Linked DNA regions of Ovis aries. The main gene of each other region encodes a partner of the protein of the gene in region 3 in a complex. Links are inferred from orthologs where the notes say so. Each region holds a gene or a part of one and is shown on either strand. Other genes may lie near its edges.

What was found. Proteins that work in one complex are often made in the same cells at the same time.
Region 1: mitochondrial import inner membrane translocase subunit Tim23 (region 3) and TIMM17B share a complex: the UniProt entries of both Homo sapiens proteins name them as parts of the TIM23 complex. The link is inferred for Ovis aries from reciprocal best matches to the Homo sapiens genes TIMM23 and TIMM17B.
Region 2: mitochondrial import inner membrane translocase subunit Tim23 (region 3) and TIMM17A share a complex: the UniProt entries of both Homo sapiens proteins name them as parts of the TIM23 complex. The link is inferred for Ovis aries from reciprocal best matches to the Homo sapiens genes TIMM23 and TIMM17A.

Annotation. Positions count from the first base shown.
Region 1 is NC_056080.1:56,177,408-56,181,512, forward strand, and holds the start of TIMM17B (mitochondrial import inner membrane translocase subunit Tim17-B), read left to right. Parts: upstream 1-1,286; 5' UTR 1,287-1,323; coding exon 1,324-1,349; intron 1,350-2,222; coding exon 2,223-2,322; intron 2,323-3,334; coding exon 3,335-3,398; intron 3,399-4,105. Other genes in the region: PQBP1 (polyglutamine-binding protein 1), read right to left, coding at 504-570. UniProt on the Homo sapiens protein: Essential component of the TIM23 complex, a complex that mediates the translocation of transit peptide-containing proteins across the mitochondrial inner membrane.
Region 2 is NC_056065.1:79,927,920-79,932,270, reverse strand, and holds the start of TIMM17A (mitochondrial import inner membrane translocase subunit Tim17-A), read left to right. Parts: upstream 1-1,532; 5' UTR 1,533-1,565; coding exon 1,566-1,591; intron 1,592-4,351. UniProt on the Homo sapiens protein: Essential component of the TIM23 complex, a complex that mediates the translocation of transit peptide-containing proteins across the mitochondrial inner membrane.
Region 3 is NC_056078.1:42,999,190-43,002,749, forward strand, and holds part of mitochondrial import inner membrane translocase subunit Tim23, read left to right. Parts: intron 1-1,130; coding exon 1,131-1,241; intron 1,242-3,560. UniProt on the Homo sapiens protein: Essential component of the TIM23 complex, a complex that mediates the translocation of transit peptide-containing proteins across the mitochondrial inner membrane.

The DNA of each region.
Region 1 (4,105 bases), on a different chromosome or scaffold from region 3:
AAACTTTGGCTACAGAAGACCCCAAAATACACATCAACTGTCAGTGTTAAGGACGAAATGTCTATTCCATACCCCACCTCCCCTCCTCCTCATAGGACAGGAATAGGGGTCAGTAACACGTATTGTTGGGAATCCCTGGTAGCTCAGAGGTTAAAGCATCTGCCCGCAATGCGGGAGACCCGGGTTCGATCCCTGGGTAGGGAAGATTCCCCTGGAGAAGGAAATGGCAACCCACTCCCGTCCAAGTATTCTTGCCTGGAGAATTCCATGGACGGAGGAGCCTCGTAGGCTACAGTCCACGGGGTCGCAAAGAGTCGGACACGACCGAGCGACTTCACTTTCACTTTCTTTCACTTTCAACACGTATTGTTAACAAGGAAATGCCTGCCACCCCACTGCTTGGTGCACAATAGGCCCATGCTAGATATCAAGCGGCAGTATCCGCAACAAAGTGCCTGTCAAGTCGGGCACATGGTAGGCCTCTCTTCTCTTAGTTCTCTCACCAGGCTCCAAATGTTTGAGGATGCCTCTCTTGGCCAAGCGGGTCTGCAACGCAACAGGCAGCGGCATAGCGGATGGCAGACAGGCCTACGGAAGGACAGACAGCCTGAAAAACAGCTCAGATGAGGACTGAATCTGGTTACAAGAGTAACCAAGGGCCTCCCCGCAGCATGTACTCAATCTGGACCCCCATCTACACTAGGAGGGAAATAGACCCTACCCGCTGAAAGGTGGAAGGGGTTGTAAACAGCAATATCACCAACACTCTCACCAACTCCGCTCTCCCAGGCCAGTGGCTGCAGCACCGGGTTCCCGTCCTAGGCCCAGGCTCCGCCCAGCCCAAGGGGCCATGCGCGGCTCCCCCACTACCCAAAATGGTTTCACCCAACGTCCCCCAAAGACTGCTGGGTGGGAGGAACCAAAGCGTTGGGATGGGGGAGCACAGTGTAACACCTCCTCCAGCTCCAAAAAATGCACCCACCCCAAATTACCAATACAGTCACGCAAGTAGTGGACGACTTTCCAACTGGCCACCTCTCTCTCGTCGTCTCTATGAGCGCCAGGACCACACGACTCTCTTCTCCCAAAGCACAGAATGAGTTTCTCTCTCCCCGAGCTTAGACGTAACTGCACGACGCTCACGCAGTGAAAAGATGACGCAAACCTACCTAGCCAATGAGAATGCGCTTTGATCTGAAGTCTGGCGAAACAACAGAACCGTTGCCCTGGGATAGGTGGAAAGCTCGGGCGCTTGTATACGTTTCCAGTGGAGGTGTGGCCCGGCCAGGGTTTAGCGATACTGCGCGGCCGGACGCCGGCGCCATGGAGGAGTATGCTCGGGAACCTTGGTACAGCGAGGGGCATAGGTGTCGGGACTGTTGCTGCGGCGCCACGGCCAGCGGTGGGAGGCGGGTGGGGGAGGCACGGGCCACACAGCGCCACGTCCCAGACTCGGAACACATTTAGATTTTTGTTGTCTTCTGCTCCTCTCCACTTGGTTTCTCTTACTCGGGCTCCGTTAAAAGGGGCCACAATTGTGTGCCTGCAGAAGAAGGTTTGGTGCAGGACGGACCACTCCACGTTTTCCTTGATTCCGTACCTCCCAGCCCCTCTGTTAAAGACACGCTGGTCGAATCCATTCCAGCCAGGGGGTGGTGCGGTGTTGAGCGGGTATCCCCTGGAAAAACGCATGGTTTTTCCCAGGTCGCTTTGGTTAATGCTGGCGGGGCCTGGATGAGCCTGACCATGATTGTGGTCATGGAGGGGTGATGGGTCCTCCGCACTCTATGTGCTTGATTTTCCCCAGTTGTGCGAGGGTGAAAAGGGAAGAGGACGTGGCTTTGTTGGACGTGCTCATTATCGGAAAAAGGGGTGCTACCCCATTCTGCTTAAGGAACAGTGCCTGCAACACCTGTAGCGTAATTCAAACGTGCCAATTCTTTAATTAATGCCCTCTCATTAATTCATTTAATCTTTGACAGTAGTCAACCAGTTGGTTGATTCCCTGGTTGGCTGTGAAGGGGAGGGGCGGACAGGGCCAAGACTGATGTTTTCCCCTCTTCACATTATTTTTTGCTTAAATGAGGGGAGAAATAATCCCAGTATTATCTGAAGTGCTAGTTCTCATTTGGGTGACGTATTGCTCCCAGTTGGAAAGAGATCTTGTGACTTGGCATGAGGGAGCGCTCACATTAACCTCATCCTCCCCTTCCCGCTTGCAGCCCATGGCGAATTGTGGATGATTGCGGTGGAGCCTTCACTATGGGTGTTATCGGCGGTGGAGTCTTCCAGGCCATTAAGGGCTTCCGTAATGCCCCTGTCGTGAGTCCTAGCCTTCCCTGGGTGCTGCTGAGGTCCTGCCCTGACCACATGGGATACTGTTCTGAAACTGCTTGGAACTGCCAGTCACGTGCACTTATTCATTCTGGTGTCTGCTTACCTACTGTGTGGCAGGCCTAGCTCCAGGATCTGGGAGTTTGGGGGAACTGCAAACATGACCTCTGACCCTCACCCTGCTGGAGCTCCTCAGAAATGCTGTGCTGTCAAAAGGGTCATAAAACCAAAACCTAATTGTGTGCAAAGTCAGTCAGATTTTACCTAGAGTCAGATTCTGGGTGGGAAGCCTGGGAAAAGGGAAGTGACAGGAGTTTAACTGGCAGGAGGAGGACAGCCTTAAAGTTGAGCACATGCTTTTAATGTAACATAATCAATTCTCTCTCTCTGACAACACTCCCCTTTTCCCTTCTTGGGAGATCTCATCGAATGTCATGACTTTAAATGCTATCCACTTGCCAAGGTCTCTGCAATTTCTCTAGCCCTGTACTTCCTCCCAAATCCTGGCACTCTCTTTCCTGAATCTTTGTCCAGGTTTCTCCCTCTCATCCTCAAGGTCTCAGAACAAATGCCCCCTTCCTTTAAGAGGCCTTTCCTGACCTCTCAGCCACTGTCATAGCTCTTTATCTCATTTCCTCTAGGGTCCTGATTGCTGCCTGAAGCTATCTTGTTTATCTGAATCCTTATTCAGGATCTGTCTCTCCCACTATAATGTGAGCTCTGAGAGGGTAGGGGCCAGGTCTACCTTGTTCACTGCTGTATCCCTGCATATACCATGGTGCTTGGCACATCAGTGCTAAGTACTGAATGAATGAATAACTTCCTATCCTAGCTTTGAGAGCACTTGTAGTGGGCCCTAGTTCTTGGCCACTTCTCCACATCTGTACCCTTGAGGCCCCTAACAGGTTTCCTCCCTCCATTCCTCTCTTAAAAACTAGAAACCTTATCTGCCAGTGACCTGAACCCTGCTCTGACTCCCTTCCTCCTCACTTTCCCTCAGGGAATGCGGCACCGATTGAGAGGCAGTGTCAATGCTGTAAGGATCAGAGCCCCTCAGATTGGAGGTGAGAGGTTTGGGGAGACACGTATGATAACAGAGTTGGGAATGCTTGCTCCTTGGAGTCTAGACTGCAAGTTGAGGGTCCAGATTCTAGCCCCAACTCTGCCTGGGGCTTCCCGGGGGGAGTGTTATTTCTCGGCAGTTTCATACGGGTGAGTTGTGGAGTTTAAATCCAGGCCCTGGCTCTTCCCTGATGTCTGTGTGACCTTGGGCTAGTGGCTGAACCTCTCTGAACCTCACCTGTAACATGGGAATGATAAAAGCAGTAACCACCTCAATCAGTTTTGTCGTTTATGTAACTTACATAGTACTTACTAAGTGCTGGTTGCTTGCTAAGCACTTTGATAATATTAACTAATAAAAATTTTCAGAAGTCAGTAACATGAAGTGTGTAGATCAGGTCTTGGCACATGGTAAGACTTCTGTAAATAACTATCATTGTTAACTGGCTCTCCTCACCCATTTCCTTCTCTCCTAAACCCAGGTCAGATTCCAATTCTATGTGGTAGTTACGAAGGTCAGAGTTGCTCTGTTAAAAGCCGTATAGACAGAAGTTCCCTGGTGGCCTAGTGGTTAGGATTCTGAGCTTTCATTGCTGTGACCTGGGTTCAGTCCCAGGTTGGGGAACTGAGATCTTGAAAGTCCAATGACAGGGCCAAAAAAAAAAAAAAGCCACATTGAAGCAGACAAGTCTGCTTGTAACCACGTATC
Region 2 (4,351 bases), on a different chromosome or scaffold from region 3:
CCAGGAAAGCCACATTTTCAGGACTATTGGGTGGTAGTATAGTGTGGCAGATAAGGCCGTGTCTCCAGAGTCGAATGACATGGGCTCAAATCTGAAATGTGTGCCCTTGAGTGAGTTATTTACCCTTTCTGAGCTGCAGGAAATGGAAGACAAGAATCCTAGAAGTACCTGGAGAAAGAAGAACGCTCACTGCAAGCGCCATGGAGTTACTGAAGACGCCAATACGATGGCGCGCACAAGGCAAGGGGCGCTGCGAGCACTTGGCCTGTCCGCGCCGTTTACGGCCTCCCCAGCTTCCTCCCCAGCTTCCTCCCCGTCAGGGAGGCCGGAGGTTCCTCTGGCGAAGCAGACTCTGCCTCTGAAGCCAGCCCCTGGCCTGGCCCACACTCCTGGGAGGAGCGGAGAGCCCCAAGAGAGAGGGCAGAGGGCACACATCTTCCTGAAAAGAGGGTGGGGGAGGGGGGAGAGGGCAGAAAAGAGCCCACCTCCCCACCCCCACCCCTGCCCAGCCTAAACCCCCATCAGGCCCCAGTCATAGACCAGAGCCCCAGACCCAGAGCCGGAGGTGGTGCCAGCTTCACTCATCCATCAGGCCAGGTGGGGCTGGGGGCGGCGACCTTCTGCTGGGTGGAGCTGTTGAGGCACCCAAGCCTCTGGCTCACTGGAGCTCAACCCACTGGGGAGTAGGACCCTCTAAGGGGATGTCGGTTCTGAAAACGTGCATCCCTCTGCAGGTGTGAGTGTGGAGAAGGCTTCTCCCTTGCATCCTCCACACAAGATGCCATCAGTCTGTGAGCTCACTGTACATCGCTATTACCCTGGAGGGCAGACAGTCTGCTCAAGTGAGGGGAGAGAGAGCTGTACCTTTAGTGTCCTGGAGCTTGAAGACCCCTGCTCCAGGGGCAGTCCTGCCTCAGCCTTGTCAGGAGACCTGCTTATAGCAACGGTTTCCAAGGGGAGACCTTCTCATGCTCCGGTGTGTAGAAACCCCCACGGGTCACAGCGTCCCAGATTATCAAAAACATTTAAGGGACACCCACTACTTCCCAGCGCTGAGAGTCAAAGGACCTGGGCACTGCCTGCCCTCAGGAGCTCCGGGAAGTCGGTGGGGCCTCACCCACCCAGACGAAGTAGGTAGCATTCATGCACACTTGACAGCCAGGTGCTAGAACAAAGAAACGGGTCCAGGAGTTAGGGGAGCTCCAGCGGAGCAACCCGGGCGGGTGACTTCAGTGATGGGTACCTCTCCGCACCTGGAGCCCCGCCCCGCCCCCGGCACCCTACGCCCCGCCCCCGGCACCCTACGCCCCGCCCCGCCCTCTGCGCCGGAGCCCCGCCCACTCCCAGAGCCCTGCCTTCCGCCAGGAGCCCCGCCCCCAGCCCCGCCCCGCCCTCTGAGCCGGGGTCCCGCCCTCGCCCCGCAGCTCAGTCCCCGGCTCCGATTGGCTGCAGCGGGAGGCGGCCAGCCAATCCTCGCAGAGTCTAACGCTCTCCTCCTGGGATCACTTCCGCCGCCGGGCCGGCCCCGCTCTGTTCGCCCGGCATCGCGGAGCCGCGGAGGCAAGATGGAGGAGTACGCGCGCGAGCCCTGGTGAGCCTGCCTGCCGCCTGCCCCGCTGCCGCCTTCGGCCCCGGATCCCCGGGCCCCCGCGCTCCCGGTTCGAGGCCGCTCTCAGCTGCGGGCTGGGCGGCGCCAGGGGCCGGGGGCACCCGGACGTGAGCGGCCGGCTGGGGCCGCCGGAGCTGTTCCCGGTGACCTTGCGGCGGCTCGAGGGCGCCCCGGCTCGTCTGTGTCGCCGCGACCCCTGCCCGGCGGCGTGTGGGGAGCATCCCCGCTGCCCGCTGGCGATCCTGGGCTCGTCCTTGCGTCCGCGCGGCTCGCCCTGCGAGGGGAGGCGGCCGTGTCCTGGGAGGGTCCGCGTGGCGCGGCGGCTGCGGTCCGGGCGGTGGGGAGCGGGCGGTGGAGGGGGCCCCGCGTGGTGGGGACGGGACGGCGCGCCCAGGAGAACGGGGAGAGTGGAGTGTGCTCGCCAAGGCGCCGACAGCGGTCCGTTCGTTCGTCTGTCCCAGGAGTGAAAGCGTGGAGGAGTTCAAGCCTTCTGGGGTCAAGAATGACAAATCAGATCTTGTTATTTGAGTTCTTGTGCAAGAGTGCAGGGGCAGGAACCAGGGTGTTCTCCAGCTGTGTGAAAGGGCCCAGGGCTTTGACACTGCCCGAGCTAGCCAGGCTGCTGCTTCCTGCTGTTGTCCTCTCTGAAATGAGACAGAGCGTGTGTTTCAGCGCCTCCCAGCTCTTTAAATTTATCTTCTCCAAAGACAGTGGCCCCCCTTCGTGGGTGGTGCTCAGGTGTGCAGGGCTCAGCGCGGCGCCGCCGTTGTCACTTGCTCCTCCGTATGTGACACGGGGCGGTAGGAGGGGGAAATATGTGACTGTGTTGGGTTAAAGATTTTAGAATATTAAATTTCCATTCTCTATTCAGTTTGTTCAGTCTCTAGGTTGTGTCTGACTCTTTGCGACCCCATGGACGGCCGCACACCAGGCTTCCCTGACCTTCACTAGCTCCTGGAGTTTGCTCAAACTCATGTCCATTGAGTCGATGATGCTGCCCAACCATCTCATCCTCTTTTGCCCCCTTCTCCTCTTGCCCTCAGTCTTCCAGCGTCACGGTCTTTTCCAGTGAGTCAGCTCTTCACACCAGGTGGCCAGAGCTTCAGCTTCAGCCCTTCCAGTGGATATTCAGGGTTGATTTCTTTTAGGATCCATTGGTTTGATGATCTTGCAGTCCATGGGACTCTCAAGAGTCTTCCCCAGCACCACAATTTGGAAGCATCAATTCTTCGGCACTCAGCCTTCTTTATGGTTCAGCTCTCACATCGGTACATGAATACTGGAAAAACCATTGCCTTGACTATACGAACCTTTGTTGGCAAAGTGATGTCTCTGCTTTTTAATACACTGTCTAGGTTTGTCACAGCTTTCCTGAAAGGGGGCAAGTATCTTTTAATTTCATGGCTCCAGCCATCATTCGCAGTGGTTTTGGAGCCCAAGAGAAGAAAGCCTGTTACTGTCTCCACTTTTCCATCTGTTTGATGGGACCCGACGCCATGCTCTTGTTAGTTTTTTGAACGTTGAGTTTTAAGCCAGCCTTTTCACTCTCTCACCTTCATCAGGAGGCTCTTTAGTTCCGTCCTGAGTATGTCATAGCTTCATCTTCATCTCACTCTTTGATCACGTGTTCTCAGAAGCCCTTGGTCTGTGGTAGAAAGAACTTGGGGGGTTTGTATTTGAATTGGTTCTATCAATACCTGTGTGATCTTGCTCAAAGCGCTTCATCTCTTAGCCTCTGTTCATCTGTGAAATGGAGAGGAAACAGGAATATTCTTTTGCAAAGTTAAAAGACTAGGCACTCTATAAGGGCCTCCCTGGTAACTCAGATGGTAAAGAGTCTGCCTGCAATGCAGGAGACCCGGGTTCAATCCCTGGGTCGGGAAGATCCCCTGGAGTAAGAAATGGCACCCCACTCCAGTATTCTTGCCTGGAAAATCCCATGGACAGAGAAGCCTGGTGGGTTGCAGCCCATGGCATTGCAAGAAGTCGGACATGACTGAGCAGCTAACACTTCACTTCATAAGGAAATAGGCTGGCTTTCCAGAAGGTAAGGCTGTTTGCGTCATAAACCGCCTAAACCGTGTACTGTGCAGCCGCTCAGTCTTAGCTGACTCTCTGCGTCCCCATCCCCTTGGACTGTAGCCGCCAGGCTCCTCTGTCCATGGAGCTCTCCAGGTGAGAACACTGGAGTGGGCTGCCAGTAGATCTTCAGGGGATCTTCCCGACTCGGAGACTGAACCTATGTCTCCTGCACTGGAAGGAGGATTCTTTACCACTGAGCCACCGGGAAGCCCACCGTATTGGGTATTTAAAAATGGTAACTTTTGATCATGTGATTCATTATTGGTTCCCTGTTGCCCTGTGTTTGCCTGGCATTTATGTTTAGAGTCTGGGCTCAACTTAGCTTTGTGAGGGACACTGATTTCCGCAGACGCGGTTCGGAAGCTGTTTCCGTCTTGCATTTTTTTTATTATTATCTTTTTTTTTTTCATTTGTTTTAGACATCATCTTGTGGAATACTGTGGCTGCTCTCTGATCTGAATCCTGCTGTTTTTTACTGATTTTTAAAATGCTCATTTCCGTTCTGATCGTAGGATCATTAACCTTTTACAGCTAGTGACTCTCCTTTGTCTTTTTTTTCTTTTTTTCTTGGCTGCACCAAGTAGCTTATGGGATCTTACTTCCCCAGCCAGGAATCAAACTCGGCCTCAGCAGTGAAAGCACCAAGTCTTAACCCCTGGA
Region 3 (3,560 bases):
CTTATGGCACTTATGCCCTCGACCAAAGTTTTCTGTGTCTGAAAGTCTTTAACTGATGGCAGATTAAGTAAGAGAAAATGTAGGTAGCTTGTCAAAAGATAAGAGAGGCCTCTTGTGTGACAGAGATCCTGGCCTCGTCATAGGCTTTGGAAGCAGGACATGGTCACCCTTAGGCAGTCAGGTTTGCGTTTGGGATCCTGGTAAAGGGCTACTTCCCTGTGCTGCTTGTGCCCCCAAAACCCCTCCCCCTTGCAGCCACCCTCCTTTGTATCGATGCTTGTGAGATTGCTTGTACCTAGAGTGAGCCCCTGGACATTCTCAGTTCAGTTAATGTTCCAGAAATACCAATTCTGAGCAAGCTGGAATGGTCAGTTACCCTGTGTGTTTTCCTTATAATGTGATCAGTTACGATGTTTTGCTCAAGTTTAGTTCCAGTTAAATAAATTGAAACTGGAAGAAGAGCCTTTGTAGAAGTATGAAAACTTCACAGCAGAGGAGTTGTGAGGCCGAGTTTGCTGTAATTTTGAAAAAGGGCAGGAGAAGAGGTAATGCATTCATGCATTATGTCTCTTTAGAGCCGGAAGAGAATGGCGATTTAGGGGAAACGCTTGATAAACTCAATAGTGCTATTGTTAGAGTTTTCACATGCGCAGAAACTAAAGCTCATTGTCTTGAAGTTGTATTTTTCTTAAAATAGAAATGCATGTGTTTTGCTTTTGTTTCTAAATTCTAAGTACAGCTGTTAACAAATAAATGGAAGTGAAAAAGATACTCTTCCTGGGTCTCTGCAGTGTTACTTTCCATAAATAGCTAATAAATTTCTTTGCTTTCCAAACATTTTCTTTGCCCATCCAGAGTCACACACACATGTGCCTGCTTTACAAGTTAGTGAGCAGAGCTCTTCCTGCATTTTGAGTGCATAGTATTCCATTGTGTGAAAAGTCTCTCTGGATCAGTCCCTTCTTGAAAGTCACTTGATTTGTTGCTAAGATTTTGTTACTACAAACAGTGTTCCAGTGATCATTGCTTGTATGTCTCATGATGTCTGTAGAAGGCGTTTATCTAAATATCATTGCCACGCTGACTTTCAGTTCACTTTTTTATTGTGACCCGTTCCATTGCCCTTGTAGCTTTGCTTTATAGTGCATTTGGTGTCATCATTGAGAAGACAAGAGGTGCAGAAGATGACCTTAACACAGTAGCAGCTGGAACTATGACAGGCATGTTGTATAAATGTACAGGTAGGTACCATTAAACGGTGGAACTGTCTCTTAATACAGTTGAAGTATGCTTTTTTGGCCATACTGTAGTTTTTAAAAGAATTTTTTTTTTTTGGTAGTGGTAGTATAGTGTTCTTTGATACCTCACGGTTTTCGATTTTATTTTTTAATTTTCATAAAATACACAAAAAATTGACCATCCAAACTGTTTAAATGTACAGTTCAATTATGTTAAGTATATTAACATTGTTATGCAACTCCAGAACTTTTCTTCATCGTATAAAACTGAAACTCTGCCCACTAAACAACAACTCTGTCCTCCCCCTTCTGCAGCCCCTGGCAACCACCATTCTACTTTCTATGAATCTGATTCCTTAAGGGACCTCATGGAAGTGGAGTCTTGTAGTGTTTTTCTTTTAGTGACTGGCTTATTTCATTCAGTATAACCTCACGGTGCAGCATGCATCAGAATTTCCTTCCTTTTTAAGGCTGAATAGTGCGCCATCGTCCGTGCACACACATACACCACATTCCATTCACTCATCTGTCGGTGGGCTCTCGGGTTGCTTCTGCCGTTGGCTGCCGTGCATGATGTTGTTATGAACATGGTGGAGTAAATCCTAAGAGTTGAATCAAAATTACCTGGATGAAGATCAAATATCAAATTGTCCTCTAAGATGGAAAAGAAATGAACATTTGCTGAGTTATGGTTATATTCTCAGTAGTAACCACTTAATGTATAACTTGTTAAACTCTGTGAAGTGATCATCACAATACCCCAGTTTTATAGATGAGCACATTAAAGACGTTCTTTTTCAAAAGATCATAAAACTAGTGACAGCCCCAGATTTTTCTCACATTTGTTTTAAATTGCCTAAATTTATGCCATAATTGCCTGTTTATGTTTTGTACTCAGGCCTCTGAACAGTACTTCTGATTGTTTTATTATGCTTCAGACACTTCAGTAATTTTTGTTCTTAGGTAATTCCTCCATCACAAACATCAAGTAGCATTTTTTGCCTCACTTTTACTAGAAATGAGAGTGAAGTCTCTCTTACAGGATTATAAAATCTAAAATTTCATGGTATGTCTGAGAGCGAGAGGCTTTTTTAATACTGAAAATGGTAACATTTGGAATTGTATCCCTAAGAGCTCACAAGACTTCTTGCAGCACGTGCCTGTTCTGATACACATCAGCAGAGCTCCTAGGCATAATAAGATAGGAAAGATCTCCTAGGCACAATAAGACAGGAAATATCTTTTGTATACACGAAAATGTTGGCATAGAAAAACCTTGTTAAAAACCTAAAAATACTTTCACACTGAAAATCTCTGGGGTCAGACAAAGGAGTTTAAAACCTTAATTGGCACCACAGGGGTGGCACTCAGCCAGCAAGTGTTTAATCGGCCCAAACTGTGTTTATGAAAGATCAAAGTAAAATTTAAGGAACAGGAGATTCCACACAAAAATCTGGAGATTTTAGCTTCTTTTGCAAAAATGGAAGACACACGGCTCACGTTGTGTACGGTAGCAGATGGCAGGAGCTGCTCTGGGGGAGCTGCTGCCCCAGGGGATGGACACGGGAGCTCCAGCTCAGTCCTCACCCGTCCCCGCTTTCTTACTCAGCGTCAGCCATTACAGCATTTCCTGTGTTGGGGGCAGCCTTAAGTATAAGAATGGACTGAATTACCACCTCGTTTAAGACACATTACACATATTTTAAAGACACAAAGGGGAAGGCTGAATACTTGGGATTATCACAGGAGAAAAATGAGAACCTAGTTTTCTGTGTCCAGGACTTCTTGCAGGAATAGCATCTTCCCAGCCTGGGACATCTCCAGCATAAATTATGGAAAAGAATGCTCATGGCTCAGAAGAGAAAAAGCAAAAAAGAATATTCATTAGTGCTTTGTCAGGTGACAAGTGGGTTTCCGTTTTTCAGATTTCAGTTTCCACCACAATTGTGGAACACAGAAGAGGTGAATGACCTGCTGACCCAGAATTCCAACACTGGTTCCTAGTTCCCAGCTGATTAGTTTAATTCAGCACATCAAAATTTCGGACGGAGGCAAAGCAGTGTCTTTTACTGATTTCTGGTTTAGACGCCACTTAAAGCACAGAATTTCATGTGGCAGGAATTTATTAAAAAACTCCCATATTCAAGGATTTGGAAAACAGTTTGGGTGCTCCTTCAGTCTAGAGTCAGCCTAAACCACGAAGGAAAGGAGACGGATGCTGGTAGCCCAGTGTCAGTGTACGTGACGCCACTGACGTGTACACTCACCAGTGGCAAATATTTTGTTATGTGTATTTTATCACAATTTTAAAAAGAATTTTTT